2 linked regions of the Xenopus tropicalis genome follow. The main gene of each other region encodes a partner of the protein of the gene in region 2 in a complex. Links are inferred from orthologs where the notes say so. Each region holds a gene or a part of one and is shown on either strand. Other genes may lie near its edges.

The links.
Region 1: the proteins of pds5b (region 2) and wapl are in contact, whole or in part, in a crystal structure (PDB 5HDT), measured with the Homo sapiens proteins. The link is inferred for Xenopus tropicalis from reciprocal best matches to the Homo sapiens genes PDS5B and WAPL. Residues at the interface, in NP_055847.1 of Homo sapiens: Gln47, Phe88, Ala92, Pro93, Ala95, Trp137, Val138, Lys139, Ser140, Asn142, Ile143, Phe145, Glu146, Glu187, Gly188, Asp189; in NP_055860.1 of Homo sapiens: Lys7, Thr8, Tyr9, Ser10, Arg11.

Annotation. Positions count from the first base shown.
Region 1 is NC_030683.2:49,055,927-49,064,751, reverse strand, and holds part of wapl (wings apart-like protein homolog), read left to right. Parts: intron 1-117; coding exon 118-267; intron 268-4,472; coding exon 4,473-4,609; intron 4,610-5,063; coding exon 5,064-5,175; intron 5,176-7,054; coding exon 7,055-7,279; intron 7,280-8,052; coding exon 8,053-8,164; intron 8,165-8,825. UniProt on the Homo sapiens protein: Regulator of sister chromatid cohesion in mitosis which negatively regulates cohesin association with chromatin. Involved in both sister chromatid cohesion during interphase and sister-chromatid resolution during early stages of mitosis.
Region 2 is NC_030678.2:153,044,856-153,053,542, forward strand, and holds the end of pds5b (sister chromatid cohesion protein PDS5 homolog B), read right to left. Parts: intron 7,236-8,687; coding exon 7,090-7,235; intron 6,984-7,089; coding exon 6,875-6,983; intron 6,513-6,874; coding exon 6,064-6,512; intron 5,981-6,063; coding exon 5,882-5,980; intron 4,820-5,881; coding exon 4,675-4,819; intron 3,597-4,674; coding exon 3,567-3,596; 3' UTR 3,127-3,566; downstream 1-3,126. UniProt on the Homo sapiens protein: Regulator of sister chromatid cohesion in mitosis which may stabilize cohesin complex association with chromatin. May couple sister chromatid cohesion during mitosis to DNA replication.

The sequences.
Region 1 (8,825 bases), on a different chromosome or scaffold from region 2:
TGGAAACCTTTTTAGCAGCATGATACGTGATTGTATGTCTGTAGTCCTCTGTACATTTTGTTCTTGGGCTTTATTATGCAATTTACAGTGATGTTTGCCCTATTTATCTGTTTTTAGGCAAAGCCATCAGATGCACCATGCGCAAAAGATGACGGGGTATTTAAGGCTCCAGCACCTCCTCCTAAAGTGATAAAAACTGTTACAATTCCCACACAACCATATCAGGATATTGTGACAGCACTAAAATGCAGAAAGGAGCACAAGGAAGTGAGTGCTTGTATTTTTTTCTCCCATTTTCTTTTCAAATGTTTTTAGAGTAGTTTGTACATTGCTTAATTTGTTTTGACCTTTTAGGCCTACGACATAGACTGTGTCTTTGCCAATACGAAAAGCATTAATGGTTAGAATGCCCCTTTTTGCCTTTCACCGCTTTCCATAAATTTTCCTCTCTCATTACTAGGCCTGATGTAGGCAAGGCATTTCCCAAGCACCTCTAAGGGGAACCATTTCTTTTAACCATGTCTAAAATTTAATGTGGCCCTTCAAGTAATTTTATGGCCTACTTTATGCCCAAGATCTCCACCTAGGCAAAAATAAAATATTTTGTCAGTGTTATTATAATCCATCCATGCAAAATAGCTGACAGTTATCCCATTGCATTGAAAAACCTTGGACAGTACTGCCTTAATGGAGTGACATAACATTAACATTAGATCTGACATACCATCGTTGTATACATTTATTTGTGTTACACTTCTCATGCCAGTGCAGCAGTGCTCTAGTATTGCATGGGTTAAACTACTTTCTTTTAGCTGGAGAGACACTTAAGGTGGCAATACACGCTAAGAATCTTCTCCCGATAACCCCGCCTAAGGTCGGGTGATATCTGGCTAATTCGGTCTTTTGGCCCTGGGCCAAACTATCAAATTAGAATGGCAGGTATAGGCACCGTTGGTTCAGGACCCGCATCAACTAGCCGATGTGGTACCTGATCCAACGGAAAAATCATCTGCCCTATAGAGATCTGACTGATTTCAGGCCTTCTGCACTCACCATTCTAGGGTGATTTTCTTTGGGACATAAATCAGACACGCCCTCATGTGTGATAACATTCTGATATAATTCTGAAACACAGTATGCCCATATTATTCCAATGATATGTTGGTATCATATGCCAGTAACTGGGTAGCTGCTGAACAAAAAGTGAAATAATTCAAAAAACACAAAAGTAATCAGATTCTCGGAATCATTGTCTGCATCATAATAAATGTTAATATAAAAGCAAACTACACTTGTAAAGGGCATGTAAAGCCTACATTTACAATGTGTATAAGATGGGCACATCTCCCTCACCCAAATGTACTGCATATATCCCCTCCATTTTCCAGCGCCATCACACCCAGTGGCTATTTTTCCTCTGAAGCACCATAAGTGCATTACATCTGCACAAAAGCACAGGTGCACTATAAAGTACACGCAGTGAAGAATGCGTGCTTCTGCAGGCAAAACTTACTGTGATCCTGCTTGGATTGAAATGGTTAAGCTGATTTCAGGAGAGGAGGTTAGGAGAAAAAATAGGTGCAGACAGCTAGAACAGAGTTTCTATGGAAACCAGCAATGCGAAGAGCAGAGCTGAGCACGCTTAGTAGCCAACAGCCAAAGTAAATTCCTGAGAGAGCGCTGAGTAGGTTAGAGGAGGACAAGGAAGAAAGGGTAAGTAATTAAGGGGATGATGCATCCTCACTATTAACCTTTGAACAACTGGAGCAACAGATTTTTAAAGATTTCAGGGAGGTTTACATGTCCTAAAAGAAAACCGTACCCCTGAACATTGGGGGCAGTCCGCTCTTTGGTGTGCTCAGAAACTAAAGGCACACATACATGCTGGTCTATATGAGCCAATGAATGGACAGAGCTCTGTCATCTACTCTCACACATTATTTCCTGTCAGGTGATCTCTGAAGGACCTACACTAAATAGTGGCTCAAGGGAAAAGATGTACCGTATATACTCGAGTATAAGCCTCGAGTATAACCCTCTGCTTATACTCGAGACCCTCCTGACCCCCTGCTGGTGATTCCCGCTGCCCCCGCCAACACGACAGCCTACCCTCAACCAACTCTAAAGCCCCACACGCACACACACTGCACGGACAAAAACTCCTGCAAAACTAAGTCGCAGTTTTACATACCGGCACTTGCGACTTAAAGTTCCCTCAGTCCCGCTCTCTGCTTATGCCAGCTTCCCAGAACCGCCATCCTCCTAACTGTGCACTCCTCTGCTCTGCTGTGCGCGCTTCTGTTCTGCTGGGCGCCGCAGTCGCACCAGTGACGTCACGCACCCCCTTCAGTTACCTATACCTTCTAAGATGAGGCCATGAGTAACTGAAGGGGGCGCATGACGTCACTGGTGCGACTGCGGCGCCCAGCAGAACAGAAGCGCGCACAGCAGAAGAGCACACAGTTAGGAGGATGACGGTTCTGGGAAGCTGGTTTTGGCTACACTGCCTGACCACCTTGGAATGTATGGAAAGTTGGCTTTACAACAGATAATAATGTGATCCCGTTGATAGAGGTTTTATCTGTCATGATGGAAATTTTTCATCGGTTTGTAATGGAACTGCCCATAACTGGTAGATCCTCAATAAGAAAAAGGGGACTAGGAAGGCCTTTACTGCAAGAAGAAGGTATGTAGCAAGTCAATGTGAGGAACCAAGGCAGAATTTATTGAGAGCTTCTCACAGTTGTAGCAGATACTGGTTTCTGGCTCCCCTATATCTCGGTCATGATCAGCATGCAGTGCATAAGCCTCTGAGCTGTCACTATGGCTCCACTAGGTTCCCAATAGTCTAATCCTAAACACTCTAGTTCCCTGGCACTCAACTGCCTTGGGTCTCTTCTCCAAATAATCCCTCTTCGATGGGACAAACTGTCCTTATACCCTGGCTATCTTGCACTCCTAGAGAGACATAACATAAATCTCCTAACCCACTTCCTAGAACTAACATGGTACTGCCTGCCACCTGGTCTGGCTCTGTGGTCGTTTTGCTTGACGTTCCTAGGCCAAACAGGAAGTCTCTAGCTACTGAACTTTCTTATATACATGTAAGTTCCTGTAGAGGAATTCCCCCACAGGCCAACTTGTTACACTCTTGTCTAACTATTGCCTATTATACACTCTTGCATCTCTATTTAAGTGTGGACTTACTCGGGTATATAGGCAGGAGCAATAGGTTAATGTCAGTATGCTTTCTGCTGAGAATGGGGTGATCTGTGTCAGTTATCTATTATCAGTTCTCAAGCAATATCGTGTAACAAGATTATCCTGCTGTGCTTCGTGTGCTGGCTCGCTCGCACCAGCCCTACTGGTGACACCCTAGGCTTATACTCGAGTCAATAGGTTTTTCCAGTTTTCTTAGGTAAAATTAGGTACCTCGGCTTATATTCGGATCGGCTTATACTCGAGTATATATGGTAAATGGAAAATATTTTCTGATATACATGATTTGTTGATTAAGTATTCATTCCGTATAACTTCAGTACAGCGAGTGGGAAGGAGATTCACAGACCAAAAATGTTTGTCCTTTTAAAAAGATAGAAAACCTCACAGGAATGAAATGTAAGTGGCCAACCTAAGAATATTTACTCAGGTGTAAGAAAGGAAATGGGAAGGAAGTATCATTTAAAGGAGAAGGAAAGCTAAAAACTAAGCTTTATCAGAAAGGTCTATGTAAATACAGCCATAAGCACTCGCAGAAATGCTGCACTGAATTCTCTGCAAGAGAAACAGGATTTGTTGTCTTTGTTTTCCTGTACCGGAGACACGCAGCTCTCTCCTCTCTCCTGCTCCCGCCCCTCCCTCAAAAATGCTAAGAACCCCCCCCCCCCTTAGGAATATGTGATCTGAGCCAATCAGCAGGAAGCTTCCTCATAGTCTTACAAACTGCACATACACACCGGTCTTGGTGCAGTGCAGTGTGTGAGGAATTATGGGAACTTTCTTTACAGAGCTCAGCGTTTTTTTTCCTTTGAGACTTCTGATCAACTGAACGGGAGAAATATGGGGGGGACTTAAGGGCACTATTGAGACAACTGAAGGTATGCCTGCAGCTTGAGATATTAACTCTTTGTTAGCCTTTCCTTCTCCTTTAAATAACAGTAAAAAACAAAACTGGAATAGATTGCTTCTATTTCAAAGACTAAAGCTGGTCATACATATACTCATTTTGATTACAGTGGGTAAAAGTGCAAGTCCATTAAAAGAATAATAACAATACACTGCAGAGCTCCTTTTTCATATTTATCTAATGGGTATATGGCCATGTGAATAAAATTTTAGGTTTGTGCATCTTCTGCTAAGGTGCAACTGATTTGGCCTGTTATCTGCATGTGGTAACTTGCCCCTAAAAAGAAAGGTCTATTTTATGTATACTTTGTTTAATCTGCTGGTAACATACCTTTATTTTGTTCTAGTTATATACTGTAGTTCAGCATGTAAAGCACTTCAACGATGTTGTAGAATTTGGAGAGAATCAAGAATTCACTGATGATATTGAATATCTGCTAAGTGGGCTTAAAAGCAGTCAGCCCATAAACACACGTTGCCTTAGGTAAGAGATATATGCCTTCCTAGGCAGTGCCAACAGTCTCTGCATATATCTGCATGCATGCTTTTGGTTTTATGCCTTAAACAGATTCACTGACCTAACTGTGACAGAGGTAGTAAACTAGTCTTGTCACTGTCTTCCCCTTATTAATGTTGCAAATTATCACAAGTGGCTGATTCGGAGTTGCATATGTGATATGCTGACCACTGGCCTTTTTAAGCTGATTTCTTTGGAGGATTGGGATGACTGCTTGTACGGCTGGAATTTTTAATAAGTTATTACAAATCTATTTTAAAGAAGACTACAATTTAACTATATTTCTTATCCTGAAATCATGTCATAGGACATTTTTTTATTTTGCATCTTGATTTTTAAGAAATTATATATTTTTTTGTATAGTTCTCTCTGTTAAGATTTGTAAATTTTGTAAACTGATATATGCGTCTCCTCGTTACAGTGTAATAAGCCTGGCGACAAAATGTGCCATGCCAAGTTTCCGAATGCATCTGAGAGCGCATGGAATGGTAGCCATGGTCTTCAAAACACTGGATGATAGTCAGCAACACCAGGTATTTTCAAACCGTCAACTCAAGACTTGCTTTCATTGCACCATTAGGACTATTATAATAAAGATCATTATAATAAAAAATAACAATAATAGCCTCAGAATTTTTTAGGTCGCTGGTAACAGTAAAGCAGAAACAAATTAAAAAAAAGTGTGTGTGTATAATATATATAATTTTTTTTTTTAAGGATAAGTAAGCCTTTATCATAAAAGCCCCTCATGTCGATTCTGTGTCACAAGCAGCTAATTTCTTAGCTACTTCCTAGTCTAAAATGAAGCTCCACCGCTTTTTCTTTGCTGAGTTCTCCTTTTGATAGACATGAATGGTACTGTACTGCATGATTAGTAATGAATGTCAGTAGCACTTTGATGTGATACATCTGCTGCTAAATCATCACATCATTAGGGACAGGGATTCTGTCATGATTTTTATGGTGTCATTTTTATTTCTAAATTATGCTGTTTACATAGTAAATTATTCACTCTAACATTTTAAAATGGTAATTCTTGAACCAACAAATATATATATATTTTTTTAGTTTGTAATATTGGTGTGTAGACAGCCATCTCAGTGCATTGTGCCTGAGCTTTTAAAAAGAGCCAGCACTACACATTAGAACTGCTTTCAGATAACCTATTGTTTTTCCTGCCTCCATGTAACTGGAGGAGTCTTAGGGCTCTGGCACACAGGGAGATTAGTCGCCTGTGACAAATCTCCCTGTTCGCGGGCGACTAATCTCCCCGAAATGCCATTCCATCAGCGAAAATGTAAATCGCCGGTGGGATGGCATACGCGGTGGCGCGATTCCAGTGAAATCGCAGAAGTTTCCTCTCGAGGCAACTTCCGCGATGTCACTGAAATCGCGCCGCCGCGTATGCCATCTCACCGGCGATTTACATTTTCGCCGATAGGATGGCATTTCGGGGAGATTAGTCGCCCGCTAACAGGGAGATTTGTCACGGGCGACTAATCTCCCCATGTGCCAGAGCCCTTAAAGAAACAGTAACATCAAAAACTTAAATTGTTTTAAAGTAATTAAAATATAATGTGCTATTGCTCTGCAAAAAAACTGGTGTTTTTGCTTCAGAAAAGCTACTATATAAATAAGCTGCTGTGTAGCCATGGGGGCAGCCATTCAAGCTGGAAAAAAGGAGAAAAGGCACAGGTTACATAGCAGAAAACTAGTAGATAAGCCCCATATAATGGGGGTTTGTCTGTTATCTGCTATGTAACCTGTGCCTTTTCTCCTTTGAATGGCTGCCCCGATGGCTACACAGCAGCTTACTTATATAAACTATAGTAGTCTTTCTGAGGCAAACACACCAGTTGTACCAGTGCAGGGCAACAGTACATTATATTGTAATTACTTTTATACACTTTCATTTTTTGGTGTTACTGTTCCTTTAAGTGGGGCTTGGATTTCTTACTATTGAGTGCTATTCTGCTATCTACTGGGAGCTGCTATCTTGCTGCCTTCCCATTGTTCTGCTGATCGGCTATAACTGAAGTTTATCAGAGCTCAGGTCACATGGCTGTGGCACCCTGGGAAATGAAGAACATGGTTAACCCCATGTGAAATTTTTTGATTTTTGAAAAACAGATTTCAATGCAGGATTCTGCTCAAGAAGCTCTATTAAATGCATTTTGAAAAAAAAAACTTGTTTTGCCATGACAGTATGCCATACCCTATATTTTTTTAAAGTTGAGTGGTGCTAAGAGTTCAACAGGGCAGAACATAATCTGTCTGTTATTCATTGGCAGCTAAGCTTGACAAGGATATTTTTTCCTGAATTATCTTATTAGTTCAAAATAAGTAATGGTACATTGTTTTCATGAGCATTTATCTGTTTGTTTATATCTGGTTTTGTTTTTTCATTATTAGAATCTAGCACTTTGCACTGCTGCACTGATGTATATACTGAGCAGGGATCGCTTAAACATGGACCTAGATAGGGCGAGCTTGGATCTTATGATCCGACTTTTAGAAATGGAACAAGACCCCTCAGCCAGACAAATGAATGAGAAAGAAATGAACAAAATCAAAGAGAAGATACGCAAACTGTGTGAAACTGTCCACAACAAACATTTAGATTTGGAAAACATTACGGTACGTCCCTATCAGGGTTGTTCATTCCTTTGTAACAATTTTAAAGTAACTTATATGGCTTCTCAACAGGTTTTATGTGGCATTTAGATTTTTTATTTTTCATGATTCCTTTTTTTTTTATTTTATAGCAAATCGCAACTTTCCATAGGAAAGACCGTTTTTCTTACATGTATGGCCACATTCAGTTAAAGCTAAAGACACAAGTTACAAAATAGTCTCCCGCTTGTTGCTAGCCAAAATGCATTCCTTATAGCATAATTTGGAATGGGAAAACATTAAAGCTATGGTATTGGCAGTTAAAGGAACAGTAGCACCAAAAAATGAAAGTGTATAAAAGTAACTACGATATAATGTACTGTTGCCCTGCACTGGTGCAGCTGGTGTGTTTTGCCACTGAAAGACTACTATAGTTTATACAACCAAAGCTGCTGTGTAGCTATTCAAAGGAGCAGATAACAGTTAAAACCCAGTTATTCTACAGAGATTATCTGATATCTGCTGTGTTACCTGTGCCTTTTTTCTCATTTTTCCATCTTAAATTGCTGCCCCATAGCTACACAGCACATTATTTATATAAACTGTTGTAGTGTTTCTGTAGCAAATACACCGGTTATACCAATGCAGGGCAACAGTACATTATATTTTAATTACTTTAAAAACACTTAAATTTGTTCTATTGCAGACAAGCAGTTATTAATCCGGAAAACATTCCTACATGTGGTTGGTGTGTTTTTCTATTTATCTGTTCATTTGGCTTTTTGTCCTCAACACAGACTGGACACTTGGCAATGGAAACATTACTATCTCTTACGTCAAAACGAGCAGGAGACTGGTTTAAAGAGGAGTTAAGACTTCTAGGTGGTCTTGATCATATTGTGGATAAAGGTATGTTCTGTTGCTTTAATTATACATACAGTCCTACACCTTTAGCACTTCTGTTACACTATCCTAACTTATTTTACAGCGCTGCAGAATATGTTGGTGCTTTATAAATAAATGTTGATAATAATAATAGGAGGATAATTATGATTATAGCAATTAAATGTACACATAACTTTTTATAATATTTTATAATAAAATTGGCAATTGCCACAATTACTATTTTTTGTGTTTCTGTGTTTTAAAGTCTGTGAAATAAAATTTAACTGCCATAGCATTTGCAAATGTCTTGTATTTTAAACACACATATACCTGTATTAGATATTTCCTACTTTTTCACTTACAGTATTAACAAAATTTAGCAAGGGGTGCTCAAAGTTTAGCAGTCCTTTTCCTGGTGTACAGGCTTATTTGGTGAGGCCCAGTTGGCAGCTAAACTTGGCCCATATATGGCCACCTTTAGGTCTGATGTAATAGAGCTTATGTTGCAAGGGATGTTTTAATCACTACTACTTGATTTTTGTTATGAATTCACCATATCCACTATTTTGGGATTCAGCCCTACCCAGAATCCTTCACAAAAGATTTAGACATATGCAAATGGAGCTAAGGGGGGGGGGGGTTGACGGAAGAATTTTCATATATAATATATCACGGCTACAGTTCA
Region 2 (8,687 bases):
ATTCTGTCCAGATATTTTTGACAAACTTTGACTAACTTACAACTAATATATAATATAATCTGTGATGCAACAATACTGAGAATGGCACAGAACGTCACCTCATTTGCACCATCAGTTTAATAATGTACACATTTTAAATATAAATCAGGACCCAGGCACATAAGTCTATGAAAAAAAAAATCACATCATTTATTTGAAAATTAAGTCACAAAACATGACTGAAATGTTTCAGTCTCAAAGGAAAAAATAAAAGAAACAGCACTTGTCAGTGAAACAGAAAAACAAGAATATTGATCAAGGGAATGAAACTGCATGGAACACTGGCATTAAGTACATGCTTTGTGCAATGATGCGTCTTAGTCGCCTGAGACTTCATGACGTGACCAATCATTGCTAGGCAGCTGCATAACCAAGTCATTGTAAGCATAGTATTCTCTGTTTTTTTTCTTTAATCTGTCATATAGCTTCTGTTTGGAGGCTTGCAAGGATGTTAGATCACAAAAAAAAAGTATTTACACATTTTACTGTAAAATGTATATTTGTTTGCCAGCCATAACATACAGTCCTATACAGAAATATAGCAAAAGAACACCGAGTAATATAGCACAGACCAAAGGGTAGTGGGGTACAGAAAAGGGGAATGTCAGATTATAAATAAGCAGTTGTGCATTCCAGGAGGTGCAAGAATGTAGCCCTGTGATTAAGGATACTGAATGGTTTTCTCTGCAAATCCGAATTCACGTGATTCCAGTCCCATCACTTCATTATCCAACTGCCAGCAAGTTACACTGCAGGTTATGAACCCCTTTATTATTGGGTTCTAGTATCAGCATAGGTTAGTTTTAGTACAGAATGGTAGCTCTTATAAAATAAACTTTATACATATAAAACAAATAAAGTACAAATTCATCTTCATAAAACAGAGATCACCACTCCGGCATGGGAAAGCAGACAATGCAAGTATTACTTTAACCTTAATATAAAACATATACTGCTATATTATAAGCTGTCAGTCAACATCATCCTTACTCTTATCTGTACTATTCTGTACTATTTCTACCCACGCATAAAAGTCATTAATACAAATTAGCTGCAACCTAAAGAGGAGGAAGTGGCTTGTATTCCCCTGCTGCAGGCAAGTTATGGGGTATAGAAGTGCAATGGAGTTTCCTAGCTCATCACCCAAAGGTTAGTTTCAAAGCTGATCATCACAGGGAACAAAGTGGGAGCAAATATACCCCTTGCGGTATCAGACAGTGCAGCTGTCTTGGTTCTCATTTTTTCCCATCTAACATAACTGCTTATATTATACCTTCTTCACCCTCATTACCACCTCCTCTCTACCCTGCCCTAATGCAGTGATGGATAGATGATGATGGTTAACTAGCCCTACTGCAAACTGACTGACTTTGTATGCTTTACCCTATTCAGTATATTCTCTAACAAATACCTGAGTTTTTAGGGCCTAGTACAAAAATCAATAAGCAACTGTGTATTTGTTTATCCAAGTCTCACTGGCTGTAGCCAATACAGATAGAATGTCGACAAAACGTCCCTTGTTTCCTTCCCAGCAGCTAACATGCAAATAGCTGGTGGGAAACATACACTGCATTTTGGCTTTCCTTGTAAAGAAACATTGGCCAATTTTTTGCCACGCATATTTTCCCACCAGTGATTTGCAAGTTAGATGGTGTCAAGGCTCTGGTGACAGTCTCATTTGCAAAGTGTCTCTGAAAAACATCACTGAAGATGATGTCACGTGTTGCTTTGTTTGGAGCAATGGCCAAGTTATGAGGAAATAGGATTTTTTGGAAATGAAGTTTAACTCACCCCATGGCCAAGTGAGGCTTAATCCAGCAGCTTGTGTCACGCCTTACTTACTATTCCATATCCAAGAGATAATAATGGTAATAAAACCAATACAGACTGAACTATTCCCTTTCAAAAAATGACTTCATTAAAGAAATGTAAACAGACATATACAGAAAACAAAATCTAATGAACAAAATCAGCAATTGAAGTAAAAAAAAAAACAAAAAACATAAAAAACAGACAGACAAGGCATTAGGCTTGACTTCAGAATACACTAGGATCTGATTCACATGTACCAATGAACAAAAGGTGAGAGATTGTTCTGGAAAGTTTAGATGCCTTTATAAATGACGCTATATTCTCATTAATGTATACATTGCAAAGCTGTTCATCTCTCTATATAATTTTAAAAAGTACACTGTGTACACAGGGAGGTCTATGAAACGGAGCCACCCAACAATGCACGTGTATAGGCGCATTCTTCAATAATGTCCTCACCAGATTTTCTGATAGAAACGGCTCTTCTGTTCCCTAAGTCTCAATGTAGAATTCTCAGTTGGCACAGAAATAGAGGCAGCTTTTGAAGGACTATTTCTAGAAAATACCACTTTTAAAATGAACACTTTCAAAATCAACACAACCCTCAGCCCCAGAACTGATCACAGACATGCAAACCTTTAAAAAAAAGGACATACTTACACCTTTAATTGTAGCAAAGCATTGTAAAGGGCACGTTGCCTATGCTCTAGCATTTTTACAAGACAATATGCTTTCAACAATTGCAATAACTTTATATATAAAGTACTGAAAGAATTTCCACCCCGAGAACAGAATGAGTTTTCCACTAGGAAAGCTTCAGTGCGTCAGACACAATGTGACCAATGGATTTAGTAACACTTACCAATCTGGGGGGTACTGTTTTCGTATAAATATCTAAATGCATTAAGAAATATTGGGCGGGGACAACAATACAGAATTTTATTGACACTGTTGGTTACCAAAAACTAAAAGATCATCACTTAGGTAGCATCTTTCATACATTATTTAATAGCGCCAAAATGTTAAAAAATTTAAATATTTTAAAACCTCTTCCTATAATATGCAATGCCATAATACAGTCAGCCTGGCAGGAATACTGAGTTGGAGAATGACAACATTTGGTTACGCACACAATTGAATTCTGCTGTGTATGGAGTTATCCTATGGAGAATCTGTTCTCAAAGTCAGGGCAGCGCCAAAGCGGAAAAGAGGTGCCCGGAGACAAGAGTGGAAGATAAAAAGGCCATTTAGCTTTGCAGTAAATCAACGGCAAGATTTTTTTTTTTTCACAGTAATATGCGACGTGGGATGGGAGGGGTCCACAAAAAACAGCAAATATTGCTTCAATTCCATATGAATCTTTTTTTGATATCTTTCATTTGTCCATCGTATGTAAAAATCTTCTGACGTCCATTCAGGTAAAGTCAGTTTAAAGCTGCAAAACAAAAAGCTATACAAGCACTTTATGAAACATTAAAAAAAAAAAATCGCTATTTACACGTTCATGTCTACATGTCCAGCACACATTACAAATCACGTAAAGTACCCACAGCTAATGACAAACGATTGTGGCTGTAAATGAAGGGATATGATATTTAATGTTTAAGCGTGTTGTCGTTCGTCGGCGTCTCCTATGCACGAGCAGCCTCGCGCCGGCTCCTATAGCAGTGGCCCTTCTAGTTCACTTCAGCTTCAGACTTCTGCTTTGTCCGGCTTCATCGCTTTTTGGCAGATCTGCGCCTTCCCTGGGGTATATAAAATTCAGACATTATTTAATGATTAATGGCAAACCACCCGCAAGAATACAATGCAACATTGTCATTGAATTTGTGTTTAATTAAGGTATTAAATGATGAGTTAATATAAATGTAAAAATTACAATAGTGTTCAACCATTCTGTCAGTTGACCCTTATAATGATGAAAGTGGCTTTATGGCTCTTTTTTGCAACTACATGACGGTTACAAAACTACACTTTATCCATATTGGGTGAAAAACGCACCAACCCATGGAATATTCTATGTGAGAAGTGCATCACCATGTTTAATCATTTTTCCGGTGGTTTCTTTCGACACATGGACCAGTACCAGATAACTGAAGGCTTATTTGCAGGTAACTACACAAATGGAATTTATTATTCAGAATGCTTGGGACCTGGGATTTCTGGATAAGGGATCTGTCTGTAATTTGGATTAGTTTAAGCCTACTGAAAAAATATTTAAACGTTACATAAACCCATTACGGCTGCCCCCAACACAAATTTATGCTAGTTTAGGGTCAAGTACAAGGGACTGTTTTAAATAAATATCATCAGGGCCAGGACTAGGGCTGGGCAGAAGAGACACGTGCCTAGGGCATAACGGCGGAGGGGCACTAGGCATGTACCTCTTCTGTCACCTACCCCTCTGGGTCCCTGGGGTGGGGGGGAGAGGCTGGCCAGGTTGCCTAAGGCTTCCCTAGGCAACCCGGCGTAGCATTACATTTTCTTTTATTACGCATTAAACATTTTTGGGGAGCCCTTTTAACCCTGAGAAAAATAATGAAATTCTAGAAAACACTTCAATTTTACCTTTTTAGCAAATTTAGCTAATGATAAGATTGCTTAATCCTGATAGCATCTAGAAACAGAATCTGCGTGGAGTACAAGTCCACCTACCTACTGTATCAGACAGTAGATATGACACATTATTGGAAAAGTTGACACCAGACTTACCAGTGAGGGGCAAGAGTATGTTATATTTTAATTAATTTAAAACACTCATTTTTTTGGTGCTACTTTTCCTTTAAGTGCCTATAGAGCAAGTAAAATTTAGGGAATACTTACAGTACTAGGAACAACTACTTCTTCGTCTGCAGTTTCCTCTTCATTAGAATTGTTTTCACTAAGAGCTGGACTATTCTGGGACATTTCGATTTCTTCTTCAGATTCTGGTTCTTTACTTACTACCTTTCTTGGTCGCCCAACATTGCTTAAGAAAGGAAAAATTAAAATGAGTACATTTTGGTGCAGCAAAGCTGTATTTTAGCTTATGTTACTGCAAGTGCAGTATGTGTTGATTTTATTAACTACAGCAGGGAGAGGAAGCCAGGTCTGGACTGGGATTCACTAGGCCCTGGTGTTTCAAGTACACAGAGGCCCAAACAGGCCCAATAAATAGTGATATTGGCATCCGTCTATGGCATCTTACAGAAGCCACTTTGGCATTTGACAGTTCAGGCCTGCAAGAGATTACAATGGTTTTACAAAAATAATAACAGTAAATATACCAATGGAATGTTTGTAGTGCTCTTATGTCTTTCGCTTTAAAGTTAAATTTTTAATCCAAATAAAGAATGCCTGATTTCTTTGGTATGTAGTATATAAAAGCTAAAACATGATTTTGTTATCCGGTGGATGGGTAGCCTAAACGAAAGTCAAGTCTTAGGACCAAGGTGGCAATCCCTCCAAAAAAGCTAAATAAAACGTTTCAAAATCTGATACATTATATAAAACAGAGTCAAGTTCTAATCATTTATATAACTTCACTATGAGGGCAATTTAAACTGTCCGTACACTGGAAGATACTCAGTTCAGGGACTTTCTAAAGGAGCAATTGTTTCCCAATTTGGCCAGTTTTGTGATGGATCTTATCAGGGGTTGTGTGGCCAATGAGCCAATGATAAGAGCAAATGACAGAGTTGTGCATATCCTACAGGGTACCCTATATATTCTCTAGCCGTATGTAGTTCTCTTGCAATAGAATTTTTACAGCTAAATTGATGAATCTGTAGCTGAACAAAGACCACATTATTGATCATGAAAACAGTCATTGGGGTCCCAGTTTAAAGGACAGAGCATGAGCTCTTCGAACAGGCTCACTTTACATGGCATTTAACTGGGAGTAAAAATCTGAACTTACAACCTGCTCTAAAGAGCGAACTAGGTAACTAAGTAAAAGCTTAAAACAAAACTTTTAATTCAAATTAGAATTCTAATTTTTAGAACTATGTAGAACACAAGAATTGAAATTGGATAAAGCTTTAGTGTGTACCCTTTCTTTTCCTGCACTGTGGAAGCTTTGGGTGGCCTTCCTCTCCTCTTCTGTGGTGTAGGCTGACTGGTGTTGAGAAGAGAATCGGTTGAATCAGACCTGATAATGCAGACTCAATTTAGTACAACAACAATTATAAGTTCGCTTTTTGGGGAGTCAGAAATAAAAAGCACAGCACTTACTTTTGAGGAGTCCTTCTTGATGAGCCCCTGCCTTTCCGCTTCTGCACTATGTTTTCAGCATCTTGCTCTTCACTTATTTCTAGATTATCCTCTTCTTCTGCTTGAACACTTTCTACTGGTGCAGCCTTTTTCCTCCCCCTTTTAGGAGTTGTGGCTGAAGGTTCCTCTTTTGAAAGGGCCATTTTAGCTGACTTAGGTGGTCGCCCTCTTCTTCCCTTTTTAGGTGGGCTATTTTGTTCATCTTCATTTTCCAACATGTCTTCTTTTAGCCTTTTCTCCTGCCATGGTTGTTCCTCTGATTCAGAAGAAGCTGCAGCTCGCTTTCTTCCTCGCTGACTAGTCCTTGACTTTGGTTCCTGCACAGGTTTTGATAATTCATCCATGCATATACTGTCATCTTGATCTATAAGAGACTGCTTTCTTCCTCGCCTTGGCTTTTCTACCTCAGACTACAAAGAAAAAAAAAGCAATTATCATTGTTTTCCACAAAAATAAACTTAATATGAGCCTACTCCAGAAAAAAAGACAACAACTCCCTTGTATAAAATTAACATGCTCTGGTTAGTAGCAGTTACTGAAGCTGTCTGGGTGAATACTAATGAGCACAAGTGTTCACACGCAACCAACCAATCATTTGATTACACTATGTTCAGAATTGATGATATTGTTGCCAGATTTATAAAGTACATGTAGAAATTATTTTTCTGTTAGCATGCTGCTTTAAAACTAGCAAACAAGAATATTGATATGAAATCTGATGTTACTCTGCAACATTTCATAAAACTTCAATAACAAAATAAAATTGTCCTACCTTCAAAAGGTCGGAGTCGTCCCTTTTATCACTTTTTTTTCCAGACAGAGGAGAAGACATCATTGTGTAATCTTCATTTTCACTCTGATCCAATTCTGTACTGTCAAGTCTGTCATTTATTATAAGAAAGCACAATATAAATCAACCAGTCAATATAAATCAACCAGTCTCCTTTACATTGTAATAGCAAGGGCAAATAACACATCTGGTCATACCTTCCCTTAATCCTCCCAGGAGAGCTTGGGTTAGAACCACTGCTAGCGTTGCTTACAGTCTCCATTCTAGATGACTTGGACTGCATTTGCTTTCCTGCGCTTGATAAGGGCTTATTGACGGCACCCAGAACATTTGTAGATTTTGGCTGAAAGAAAAAGGAGAAATATAAGATTTTAATATTTGGTAGGCAAAATAATTTGATGGTTGATGTGTCCCATGATCCTACAACCCACAGCCTGGGATGCTTACTCCTTATGCATGAGTGTGTGCCCCAACAAGCAGTAACACTCACTAGAAGTAGAACACTTTTGTTACCCCCAACCAAAGTAGGGCTGTTAGCACCTGGATCACCTTATAAGCATATTCCTCTATTTGCTTTGAGCAGTCAACTGGTACTAAAATTCTCAAAAAGAGCCGTACCCAGTGGCAATTATTTCTATACGTAAGTGACTGACTGATATCCACACTAGCACAAAAAACATGAAGAAACATGCACAAAATTGTTACTCCATATGGATGCCATAAATATAAATTAAAGCTCACATACAACCTAATTTAAATTTGTTGCAAAAGAATGGCGTCCCCCCACATGGGATAGTGGCATGGTGAATGGTACCTGCCCCAGATAGGAAAACTTAAGCCCTTTAGATTGTAAGCTCTTAAGAGCAGGGCCCTCTGATCCAGTTTGTTATAATTAATCTATGGCACTGCTGGCGCTATATAAATAAATGATGCTGACGCAAGAGCTGCTCATAGTGTAGCTTCTGCCTATACATCCATTCCACCAGCTTGTGTGTCTGAAAGTCAAAAATTGCTGCTCTAAAAGTAAGTGAATGCAAACATTGGAGAAAAAAAAAAAAGAGCATATTATTAAAAGGTCTGCAAAATGGGCAGAGAAATATCAAAGCGAGACTTGTGATGTTAGCTTATGAATTAATTTGTTTGATATCTCGGCATTTGATGTTTTTCAATCACATCAAACACATTTTGTACCTTGGTTTCTTGAGACGAGGTAGGAATTTAACAAAAGCAAATACAGCTGCTTGGGCTGCACAAACAGTAACGCTTTTAGAAGGATAAAGAGTGAGAGAAAAAGTATTTTACAATTTGTAAAACAAATGAATCTAATGTGCAAATCTCTCAAATGATTATCCGAACCTGAGAATATGGAAGCCATTTTGCTAACTCGCTCCTTAGTCAGGAATCTAATGACAAACATGGCAAAAGTGTTTGGACAAAGCAAATAGACACAACTCAAAAAAACTGCACATGCAACACCACCTCAATTTTGGAAGCAAATTCTGTGTTTACCCTAAAGCCAAGAACAGCCCCTCAACTGGCATTGACCTTACCCTGTGCCTGGATGCTGGTACGTGGTGTGGATTTCTGTGCCAAAACCTAGTCTGCACCTGCACCTGGGCCGATAGAATGGCTCCAGATAGGCACAGGGAAAGGCTGATGCCATCATAGGGGTTAATACTCAGCCTGCGTTTATCTGCATCCCCAAAATCAGCCCTGTCTAGTATTAGCCAAATATTTCCACTATTCTTTAAATCTAAAAACCAGTAATAATTTATATGCTGATTTGCAGTATGCA